Linked DNA regions of Drosophila melanogaster. The protein of the gene in region 1 interacts with the protein of each later gene in a pairwise test. Each region holds a gene or a part of one and is shown on either strand. Other genes may lie near its edges.

The links.
Region 2: the proteins of Parg (region 1) and Tmx3 interact in a two-hybrid assay, tested with the Drosophila melanogaster proteins (one large-scale study listed by BioGRID).

What each region holds. Positions count from the first base shown.
Region 1 is NC_004354.4:3,667,716-3,673,866, reverse strand, and holds Parg (Poly(ADP-ribose) glycohydrolase), read left to right. Parts: upstream 1-2,364; 5' UTR 2,365-2,499; coding exon 2,500-3,212; intron 3,213-3,279; coding exon 3,280-4,738; 3' UTR 4,739-5,030; downstream 5,031-6,151. Other genes in the region: Ilp7 (Insulin-like peptide 7), read right to left, coding at 5,163-5,332, 5,455-5,627, 5,687-5,823.
Region 2 is NT_037436.4:16,226,473-16,232,006, forward strand, and holds Tmx3 (Thioredoxin-related transmembrane protein 3), read left to right. Parts: upstream 1-2,627; 5' UTR 2,628-2,828; coding exon 2,829-2,868; intron 2,869-2,932; coding exon 2,933-3,171; intron 3,172-3,228; coding exon 3,229-3,852; intron 3,853-3,909; coding exon 3,910-4,299; 3' UTR 4,300-4,667; downstream 4,668-5,534. Other genes in the region: l(3)72Dn (lethal (3) 72Dn), read right to left, coding at 106-1,948, 2,019-2,155; PDCD-5 (programmed cell death 5), read right to left, coding at 4,721-4,944, 5,002-5,116, 5,368-5,430.

The DNA of each region.
Region 1 (6,151 bases):
TATTTCTGGCTTTATAAGTTAGCTAGGAGTGCTTGGATGCAGTGGAGGATAGATACATATATACATTCATATATAGTTGCACATAGCCAGTGCAGCCTGTAACTGCAAGGTTTTCTCCACTCTATCTTCCTCCTCTCGTTCATCATTTTGCACTTTGTTTTGCCAACGTGAGCCAAGTCGCGTTGACAAAACCCAAGAAAAAAGTCGAAACACAAACAAGCAAACGCAATTGTATTTATCATTTCAGTTTTGTTTTTTATTGCATACAACTGAAGCCTCCCCCAATCAAAAGCAAGTCAATGCGAATAAATATACTTATAGATTAAGGCGTTTAACAAAATAAATAACTTCTAGATCCATTTGCAGATGTTTTTATTCGATCTTTTAAGCCCAAACATTTCAAACAATTCGGGATCACATGATATAATTCGACTTTCGCACATAAATATGTGTACAGTGATCACTCGTAAAAAGAACTCATTGATGTTATTCTATACATACATATATTATTATATTTTATGCTTATTCCATACTTTATTCTTCATACAATACAATCTGCCTACCATATAATTTATGGTAACATTGCTTTAATTATGTGTGAAGTGCATCAGAATTCGGATACAAAAATGAATTATTTCTTTAAAATCTGTATATTAATTAATAAAGAACAGAAATTTCCACAAATATGTAAATTGAATTTTCAAATTGGTTTGGTTCCCTCGTTTTGTTTAATTTCTGAAACTGACTCATGGAAGTGCAGTCTTCTGCTTCTTTCAGCTGTTGATTAGTATAAGTTCATGCTTTTGAGGTGACCTTGAAAAGTTTACTAACATCGCGTTTTCGTCGCTCGCTTTTTCCAAGCGATTATTCGGCTCTATGCATTTTTGTTGTTGCTTGTTTTTTTTGCCAACCCCCGAAACGCCACCCCCGATTATTCCTAGTATTTTCGCTGACGCAAATGAGAAAAGAGAAAGCTCTACATGTACAGTGCAGACTCCCATTGCGTTAAAGTTCATCAACGAAATCTAAATGCTCGGGATTTACACCTTTTTCTGAAAATTTATTTAGTAAAATAAATTTCACTTAATATCTGGTCTCTTTCTCTCTCTATCTCTTTATGTGAAAATCGATCGTTTAACTTATTGAGAGTTGACAGTACTTTTTTCGAGTATTTCTAGGTTATGGTCAAGGCGAAATCTAAGCAAATTTGAAGGCTACGCTCAGGTACGAAGAGCGATGAAGAGAAACGCCTCTTCTTTGTAGAATTCTACTGATAATTCGATTTTTGTTTTTGTGTTTTTTTTTTTTGCTTCTCCTTGCAAAGCTTTTTCGTTTGTTTACGCAAAAAGGAGAGAAAGAGATGGTGCAAACAAATTTCGCGGAGAGATAAAGGTGTGTTGAACTTTAGCAAAAGTACATTTCATAAATTATATTTATTTTGGTTTTTAGCTAGCTGTGAATTTGCTTTTGCGTTTTCCTCAGATGCAAGTGTGTGTGCAAATTATGTATGACCTTTTTTGTATTGTTTTTGCGACGCTTTCAAAACAAACAACTGCGCTCTCTCTCTCTCCCTCTCTCGCTCTCTTGTGTCCATTCTCAGAGTCTTTGCACGTGTATGCAGCGGTTTCTCTTCCTCTTTTCAACACGTAAGCTTGAGCAAAATACCACAATCACATAAATATATACATAGGTGCGAGTGACAGTGCCACATTAAGGGTTAAAAACTGAAAAAATTTGATTTGACCACTGACGTCAACGAAATAACATTTTCTTGCCAAACGTGATTATAAAAACATAAAACAGCAATTACTTTCCGCCGCTTCTTACCTTTTTGAGTATTAAATACATTTATAAAAGTTTCGCAGACGCCTTTAACTTGATTTTCCTTGGTAATATGCACTATTATTTTTACCGCACGAAGGACAGGAAAAAATCCTTTCACTTAACGTAAAACTTGGCGCTCGTTATGATAGTTTTACACTTTAAAAAAAAATTAGAGAAAATAGTTGACAAATTGCTGGAAGATTTGTTTTTTTTTTCTTTTTGTTTGTTGTTGTTCCTTCGGCGGTTATATTTGCAATTCGCATTGCAACGGACACAGTGTTGGTATTTCTCGTGCTGGTATTTAAATACTAGCGACAATGAGAGGTAAAATACCACATGTAATGGTCACACTTTCGCCCGCCGAATTCAAGGCAATGCAATTTTGAATTTGTTATTGATTCATTCTCAAACGAATACCAACATATATTTGAATATATTTCGATATATAAACGCTTCAATTCACTACGCTTCAATCGAAGTGTGTGGTATTTATAAAGTGCGATATTCATCACAGCTATCGCTCATCCCCAAAACACCGGTATGCAAGAATTCAGGTCACACTTGATTTTTCCGATATTCCAAAAGGTTTACCAATCTACGGCAAATCGCCGCAGAGCAAGTGCATCCGTGCTGACCAATCGACTCGGCAAGGCTTTGTGCTTAAACTGCGCCAGGATGTCGAAGTCGCCGGATGGCGGGATTTCCGAAATAGAAACGGAGGAGGAGCCGGAAAATCTGGCGAACTCCCTAGATGATTCGTGGCGTGGAGTTTCCATGGAGGCTATACATCGTAATCGGCAGCCTTTCGAATTGGAGAATTTGCCACCAGTGACTGCCGGCAATCTCCACCGGGTTATGTACCAGCTGCCAATTCGTGAAACACCGCCACGCCCCTACAAATCACCGGGAAAGTGGGACTCCGAGCATGTGCGTCTGCCCTGTGCGCCCGAGTCGAAATATCCGAGGGAGAATCCGGATGGCAGCACCACCATCGATTTTCGCTGGGAAATGATCGAACGAGCCCTTCTGCAGCCCATAAAGACGTGTGAGGAACTGCAGGCGGCGATAATATCATATAATACCACCTATAGGGATCAGTGGCACTTTCGTGCCCTTCATCAACTTCTCGACGAGGAACTGGACGAGAGCGAAACACGGGTTTTCTTCGAGGATCTATTGCCGCGCATTATCCGATTGGCATTGCGGCTACCGGACTTGATTCAATCGCCAGTTCCGCTGCTCAAGCACCACAAGAACGCCTCATTGAGCCTGAGCCAACAGCAGATCTCCTGCCTGTTGGCCAATGCCTTCCTGTGCACCTTTCCCCGGAGAAACACCCTCAAGAGGAAGTCCGAGTACAGCACTTTTCCAGACATCAACTTTAACAGGTGAGCGTCCACCAGATTCGTATATCTTCAGTCGAAGTATGTTAAATATATTCGATTCCATCAAAAGGCTTTACCAATCGACGGGACCGGCAGTTCTGGAGAAGCTTAAATGCATTATGCACTATTTTCGTCGCGTGTGTCCCACAGAGCGGGATGCCAGCAATGTGCCCACCGGTGTGGTAACCTTTGTTCGTCGGAGCGGATTGCCGGAACATCTGATCGACTGGAGCCAAAGTGCGGCGCCGTTGGGTGATGTGCCATTGCACGTGGATGCCGAGGGAACAATCGAGGATGAGGGCATTGGACTGCTGCAAGTAGACTTTGCCAACAAATATTTGGGTGGCGGTGTCTTGGGACATGGCTGCGTTCAGGAGGAGATACGCTTTGTTATCTGTCCGGAGCTATTGGTGGGTAAACTCTTTACGGAGTGTCTGCGACCATTCGAGGCCCTGGTGATGTTGGGCGCCGAAAGGTATAGTAACTATACGGGATATGCCGGAAGCTTCGAGTGGTCCGGCAACTTTGAGGATTCAACGCCAAGAGATAGCTCAGGTCGTCGACAAACGGCCATTGTGGCAATCGATGCCCTACATTTTGCCCAGTCACATCATCAATATCGCGAGGATCTCATGGAAAGGGAGCTGAACAAGGCGTACATTGGATTTGTTCACTGGATGGTGACGCCGCCACCGGGTGTGGCAACTGGTAACTGGGGTTGCGGCGCATTCGGCGGTGACTCCTATCTGAAAGCCCTGCTGCAACTTATGGTCTGCGCCCAGTTGGGCAGACCTTTGGCCTACTATACCTTTGGAAATGTGGAGTTTAGGGATGATTTTCATGAAATGTGGCTGTTGTTTCGAAATGACGGGACTACGGTGCAGCAGCTTTGGAGTATTTTAAGGTCGTACAGTAGGCTTATTAAGGAGAAGAGCTCCAAGGAGCCGCGTGAGAATAAGGCATCCAAAAAGAAGCTATATGATTTTATTAAAGAGGAACTTAAGAAGGTCAGAGATGTGCCCGGAGAGGGAGCATCCGCCGAAGCTGGAAGCTCTAGAGTAGCTGGATTAGGCGAAGGAAAATCAGAAACATCAGCGAAATCCTCGCCAGAACTCAACAAGCAACCCGCCCGACCGCAAATCACCATAACGCAACAAAGTACCGATCTATTGCCCGCGCAATTATCGCAAGATAACTCAAATTCTTCGGAAGATCAGGCCCTTCTTATGCTGTCGGACGATGAGGAGGCCAATGCCATGATGGAGGCCGCTAGTCTGGAGGCTAAAAGCAGCGTAGAAATAAGCAACAGCAGCACAACGTCCAAAACGAGCAGTACAGCCACGAAATCAATGGGTTCAGGTGGCCGCCAGTTGAGCCTGCTCGAGATGCTGGACACCCATTATGAAAAGGGTTCGGCCTCGAAGAGGCCACGAAAATCACCCAACTGCAGCAAGGCTGAGGGTTCAGCAAAGAGTCGTAAGGAGATCGATGTGACCGACAAGGACGAAAAGGACGATATTGTTGACTAGGTGATATTGCACTACAGGATTGTTACTGCCCCCAAAATTGAAGAGGTATAAAATGTATTGTAGATAACTTTAAGGACATATTTAGGGCATTTTAAAGTAGGATCATTGTAAGTCGAATAAAGTGAAATTTTTTTTTTTTTTTTAATTATACTATTCTAATCTGCAAAGACAATTTTACTGTTAAATTTGTATAACATTGATTGATTAATATAATTTGTTATATCATGCAAATCTAGCTTTTATTATGCGAAATTTGTAGTTAAAGCCAGTAAAGTTTCTTTTTATTTAACCGAAACCTTTTGTTTATTTTATTTGACCACAACAAGAACATCAACAACAACAACCACGAAAAAAAAAGCGAATATATATTTGTTTGTTCGTATATATATATATATATCTAAGCAGATCCAACGTCGATGGCCAATCAGTAGTGATTGCGTCGCTTGTTGGATGGACAATACTCGGCGTATTCCTCCCAGGTGCAGCCCGCCTTGGTGCAGCATTCGTTCGATATCGATGGAGTGTTTCCATCCGATCGACGACTTCGCAGAAACATGTTGGCATAGTTCACGTGCAGCCAGGTGGAGCCATCAGCTGGAAAGACAGCAGGTGGTATCATATCGATATCAATGGATCTATAGCATAGATGTACATGTGTACATCGCTTGAAATTCCAATCGTCTTTGGTTGGAATGGATTTCGATTCAACAACTTACGTTCCGTGGTTGTCTTCTTGATCCAAGCCTCATCATTGCCCGTCCTCTTTTTGTTGCGCCGTGTCAGTCGGTAAATGTCCTTCTCGCAGGCCCAATATAGCTGGCGGACCAGCTTGTCACGGCAGCGGGAGTGCGTCTCCTGGTGCCACACGTTCTCCCAGTCCGATTGGGAACTAAAAGATGGAGACATAGACATCGGAACGGTTCGATGTCAATGGAGTTGACAACTCACCGCTCGCGGAAAAGCATCTCGAGACCCTCCTCGGTGTGCTGCAGTGCCTCCGGCGTGGGTATCAGCGGCAGGACGAACAGGAGTACAGCTCCGCAAAGTGTCCAGCTGCCCGAGTTTTGTATTATCATTCTGGTCATATTGGTTAGTTCTTGTGCTCGAATTGTGCTCGAAGGCTATCGAAGGAATGCTGATCCTGATGCGGCTCACACGGCGGATGCGTGCCGACTGAGCGCTCTGGTCGGTGTGTTGTCAGGTTTTGAAATATAACCGAACCCGGTCTCCACCTGAGTGGCGGCCAACTGTCGGGCGTCGGCGGTATAATTAAATCGTTTGGTCAGCGCTCTATTTGAAGTAATGAGGCCCAGGACCGGGTCAGGACCTCTTTCACAACCGGCCAATCCAATCCAATCCAATACAATCCAATCTAATGAAGAGCTACGGCAGCAATTGCGTATGCGGCCCGTT
Region 2 (5,534 bases), on another chromosome or scaffold:
TAAAAGGAGATTTTAATCCTCTCATTCTTATTTCATGGATGAATTAAGATTACCTTGTGAGCCAAAGTGTTACAAAATGAAAGTCTTGTGCGTAAACAGACCTACCAATCTTACCTGTCGTGACAGAGTCGTCTTGAGGCTCAGGCCTTTTGAGCCGCCATCAACTGAAGAGCGGTTTCCATTTGATAACTTTTTAGACTTGCTGTTGCTCACAAGCTCTTTGGGATCCAGATGCTGATCCCTCTCCAACACATACAAATTGCCCTCGGTGTGAACAATAAATATATTACGATTTTGTGGATCCAGGCTGATTCCATTGATGCAATGGCGCCTGGTCTCGGGTATCAGGTACTCATTAGTTTCACAGGTGAATATCCGATTGACCAAATCGTACTCCACCAGCTGGCCATTGGCGTAGGCGACCACCACGCGTGGGTAATCCTCGTGCATGGATAGGGCGGTGGTACCTGCTCGGTGTCTTGGTAGGTTCAGCAGGTGCTTGTATTGTTTTCCATGTAGTTTCCAAACTGATATTATGTGGTCTGAGCTCGCAGCCACAATGTATTCGCCATGCGAAGAGATAACCACGTGGCTAATCGTATTCTTACACTTCTCACTCAAATCGATGGTATATTTGAATGTAACCAGATCTTCCTCTAAAGTAAACCAACTTAGATGATTGTTCTGCGGGTTGAGCAGCACTAGATCTCCCTGCTTTGTGAAAATTATATGACTGGCTGGTTGAAGTTCCTCGGGAAGATCGTCTACCAGACGCTCCACCTGCAGGGGATCACTTTTCAAACGACTGATTCGGAGTTCCTTTAAGGTAGAGTAGCAAATCCAGTTTGCATCTGATGAAATGGCAGCAGACTGTATAAAGTTGTGCTCTTTGACATTTAGTTGGAGAAGTTTCTGGGGTGGCAGCTCCAGAAGTTGTTCCTCCGTGTGGCCGACGGGCAGTGCCCAGGGTTTCTTCTTGTCCTCGCCTTGCGGGGCCACAGAACCCAAGCGCCACAGGTGCACGCTGTTGGGATATCGCAAAAGCAAAAGCTTTTTACTGATTGCCATGGAAGCTACGGAACCTTTCAGAAAGGGAGCATGCTGCGACAAATGTGCCTGCATTCGTTCACTGGACGTAATGGTCAATATGCCATCCCTGCCTCCCGAATAAATTTGATCGTCGATAACCAACAGGGATTTCACATAGTGTTTGTGGGCATCGCGCTGTAGGAATTTAATCCAACGCTCGCTGGTGGACTCTTCCCGCTTTATCTTGGTTTTGCTGAAAATCCGGATGAGCGGCGGCTGCATTCCACTGCAAACTAATCGATCCTCCTTATTATTCACAGCCAGGGCAAATACGTTTTTATCCAGAACTCGTGTGGAATCTATCTGTGTCGCGTTATCCGCATCCCAAACGGTAACAAATCCCGCTGAATCACCGGCAATAATCGTATTATCGGATAGCACCTGCAGGGACCAAACTATTACGTTCTTTTCGGATAGGGTCATCGTGTGCAGAGTGGTTCCCTTGAGGACGTTCCAAATGCGAACAAATCCCTCAGTGCCGGTCACCAGTTTAGTTCCAGTCTTATCAAACTTGATGCAGAGAACGCGACCTTTTTGCTTGTTAAATAGGGATTTATAGGTGATTTCGTCATTCTCAATACTCAGGATGTTGATGTGCCCTTCCTCTGAGCCAATGGCAATATCCGTTTCCGCGGGATTCACATCGATACTCCAGAGAGCATTGCCAGTGGGCGAGTGCTCATATCGTTGTTTTAGCTTAATCACATCCCACTCGATCAGTTTACCACTTAAATCCACGGAAAATAAGCGGTTTCCCGCCCAGGCTATAGATTCCACATGAGAATCGGTGGGCAGGTGGATTACACGATCCAAATACGGGGCGTGCTCCAGGTTCCATAGCTCAATGACGGGTGTTGCACTGCAAAGAGTGTACTTATTAGTTTACTGCACAGTAATTATTAGGTTTTTTTTAATTTTCAATAATTTACCGACTCAGAGCGAGGCACTTGCTCGATTTACTATACGCCAAGCTGACAATTTCACGCGGCTTTATAGTGTAGAAGCGCACATTATGCACCTGATGCTTGCCCCTTTGCTGGGGTTCCTTCTTCGCATTATTCGTCATTTTATTTAGTTAATACAATTATTTAGTTAAGAAGAAATAAGGAACAACAACTGAAACAAAATTCCTCTGGAGATGCACGTGTGTGCCTAAGAGTTGCCAGATAGTCTATTTTGTGAGGTAAACAAAGCTGAAGAGTTGCCATCTGACTAAAAATATACCAGATTAACCCTTAGGCAGCCGCTCTATGGCCGCTCAAAAACTTATTTTCAAAATTAAAAATTCTTTTATAAATGTAATTATTAACTATGTCATTATTAAAGATAAATTCTTAGAGATGCATATAAAAAAATTTAATTAGTTTTTATTTCGAATTCATTTTAGTTTTAAGGTTATAGTAGAATGAAAATCTTGAGTTCAATAATCTTTTAAAAACATAATCCAAACAACTACAAAATTAATAAATAAACTTGTTCAATTTACGCATTGGACTAAAGAGTATCTCCTTAAGTATTTTGGATATTTTCCACATCTGGTCAGTCTAAAGGGGGTGGTTTTTGCAAATGTTTTCTTTTGTTGTTGCTGTGGTCCGAAGGAAAATAATTTGGAACTGAAAATTAAACCAATCAACTAATTAAATTAAGTAAAGAAGCTATTAAAATAACGGAAAGCATGATATAGCAAATAAGGGGCACGTAAATTACACTTGGAAGTACAAATTAAACCTGCTGCAAGGATGTCGCCAAATTCTATGTGGATTTTCGGCCTCATAAGTGGTAAATAAATTACGAACAATAGAAAAAATCCAAGCTGATGCTAAATGATTTACAAAACCAACAGCTCTGCTTCTGACTCTGGGTTCGACGGGGCTATCCTCGAAGGTTTTGGAGCTCAGTGACCGGTTCATCGATGTGCGACACGAGGGCCAATGGTTGGTCATGTTCTATGCCCCGTGGTGCGGCTACTGCAAGAAAACGGAGCCCATTTTTGCTCTGGTGGCTCAGGCTTTGCATGCCACCAACGTTCGAGTGGGTCGCCTAGATTGTACCAAGTATCCGGCGGCGGCGAAGGAGTTCAAGGTGAGAATATACCATATTTGGTCCAAGTTCCTTATAAGCATCCCCAAATTCTTACAGGTTCGTGGCTATCCCACCATTATGTTCATCAAGGGCAACATGGAGTTCACCTACAACGGAGACCGCGGTCGCGATGAGCTGGTGGATTATGCCTTAAGGATGTCTGGGCCTCCAGTTCAGCTGGTCACGCGAACGGAGAGTGTGGACATGCTAAAGGGATCCCATACGATATTTTTCATTTTCGTAGGCCAACAGGAGGGCGTGGTGTGGGATACATACTATGCTGCAGCTGAAGGTTACCAAGAGCATGGATTTTTCTATGCCACCAGCGAGGATATCGCTGCCCAACACTTTGACTTTGAGAAACTGCCAGCGGTGATTGTCTACAAAGAAGAGCAGCACCACTTCTATCCGCATGGGCATTTGGCGCACGAAATGGACCCCAATGAAGTGAACGAAACCGTTTTCCAATGGGTGAACGTGGAGAGGTTCACACTCTTCCCAAAGGTCACTCGGTTCAACATCCACCAGCTGCTCAAGACAAACAAGTACTTGGTTTTGGCTGTGGTACAGGAGGATAAGCTCAATCAGATAGCCACGCATGAGCTGGAGTTTCGGGACATGGTGGAGGGCGTGATAAGAAAGCATAGGGCGCGATATCATGACAAATTCCAATTTGGATGGGTAAGTGATTCTATCATAGTTTTATCGATTTGGAGCTAATCAATATTTCCATTTCAGATTGGCGAGCCATCAATAGCACATTCCATTATCTTGGATCAACTGCCCACGCCTCACTTGATAGCGATTAATTCGAGCACCCAACACCACTTCATACCCGAAGATGATCCAATGCAAATGACTCCACAGGCACTGCACCTTTTCCTAGAATCCATCCGCAACGAAAGTGCCATTGCCTATGGAGGAGATACGTACTTTGTACGTTTGAATCGGGCACTGTTCGAAGTGCGAAGAGCATTAAGGGATATGTGGCTGGGAAATCCCGTGCTGACCACTGTCATCTTCGGCCTGCCATTGGGATTCTTATCGCTCATCATGTACTCTATTTTCTGCGGCGATTGCTTGGTCACAGAAGAAGATCCCGATGAAGATCACGAGAAGAAGGAGTAAAGGGATAACTTAAAAATGAATCTAGTGAAAGCTTTTGATTGCGAGTGAATGTTAGAGAAAGTAAATAAGATGATCTCATAGTGCATTTCCGAGCAAGATCATAAAAAGCTAGGAACATACAAGAATATGAAATGATAAATCCCTATAAGAAGTCGTAGAAGACCCCACCCCTCCTCTAGACCACTTTTCTACCGCATATAAATGTAAGCCAAATCTAGTCCTATGTCAGTGTATGTCATTGCCGCTTGGCACGAACTTCCAATACGCTTTAAGATTCGCCATCTGACACAAAGAAGTCCATACGTATTTGGGCATCTAGTTTTGTTTCTCGTTTTAAGTTAGTAAAAGTAATAAACATGATTTAGCGGATGTGAGGAGCGGGCATAACTTAAATTAGATGTTGGGCGGAATTTCGGACGAATCAGCAGCCGTAATCCTCGTCGTCGTCGCTATCGATGGCCGCCCGCCGCCGATCGTATTTCACGGAGGACTTGCTCTGCGGCATCTGAGCATTGACGCTTTCGAGGATGCTGACGAACTGGGCGTCATCAAGTTTTCCACGCACCTGACCCATCTGGGCCATGCGGATGACCATGTTCTCGAACATTTGCGCCTTCTCCGGCTTGCTGACTTTGAGGGTATTAACTAAATGATATTTTATAAGTTATTAGCTAGAGATATTCAAGGTCTAGATCCACATACGTCGTGCCCTGGCCTGCTGGTCCAGAACTTGGGATAATATCGAGTGCTTCATTTCCTCCTGGGCGCGCATCTGCTCCTGCTGGGCTTGTTGCTTTTCCGCATCATTGCCGCCGCCCTAAAAATAGGAAAAAAGGAGTTAAGGTCATTGAAGGATTGCCCTTTAAAGAAACAGGTGTCCCAGTCGAGAAGGATGACTCATAGGGAAGGTGTCTATAAGAACTAACAAAGCATACCATTGCTAATGTATTCTTAACATTTTTATTATATTTTATATAGTCTAATTTGCTTTCATTCCAAGTTATGACTATTTTTGGAATTCTCTAGAGGAATCTAGCCGGTTTGGAGCCACTCAAATATTTCACTTACGAATTGCGACTGCATTTGGGACATGCGCTGCGCGCGTAAGGCATCCAAATCACTATCCGACATTCTGGGTTCTTATTCTCAGTATATTTATGGCAGTAAATTAAGTAATTATTGCTTTTTTTGCTTCTATAAAAATAAATCACGCTCTTTGTAGCAAAAAAAGTGTG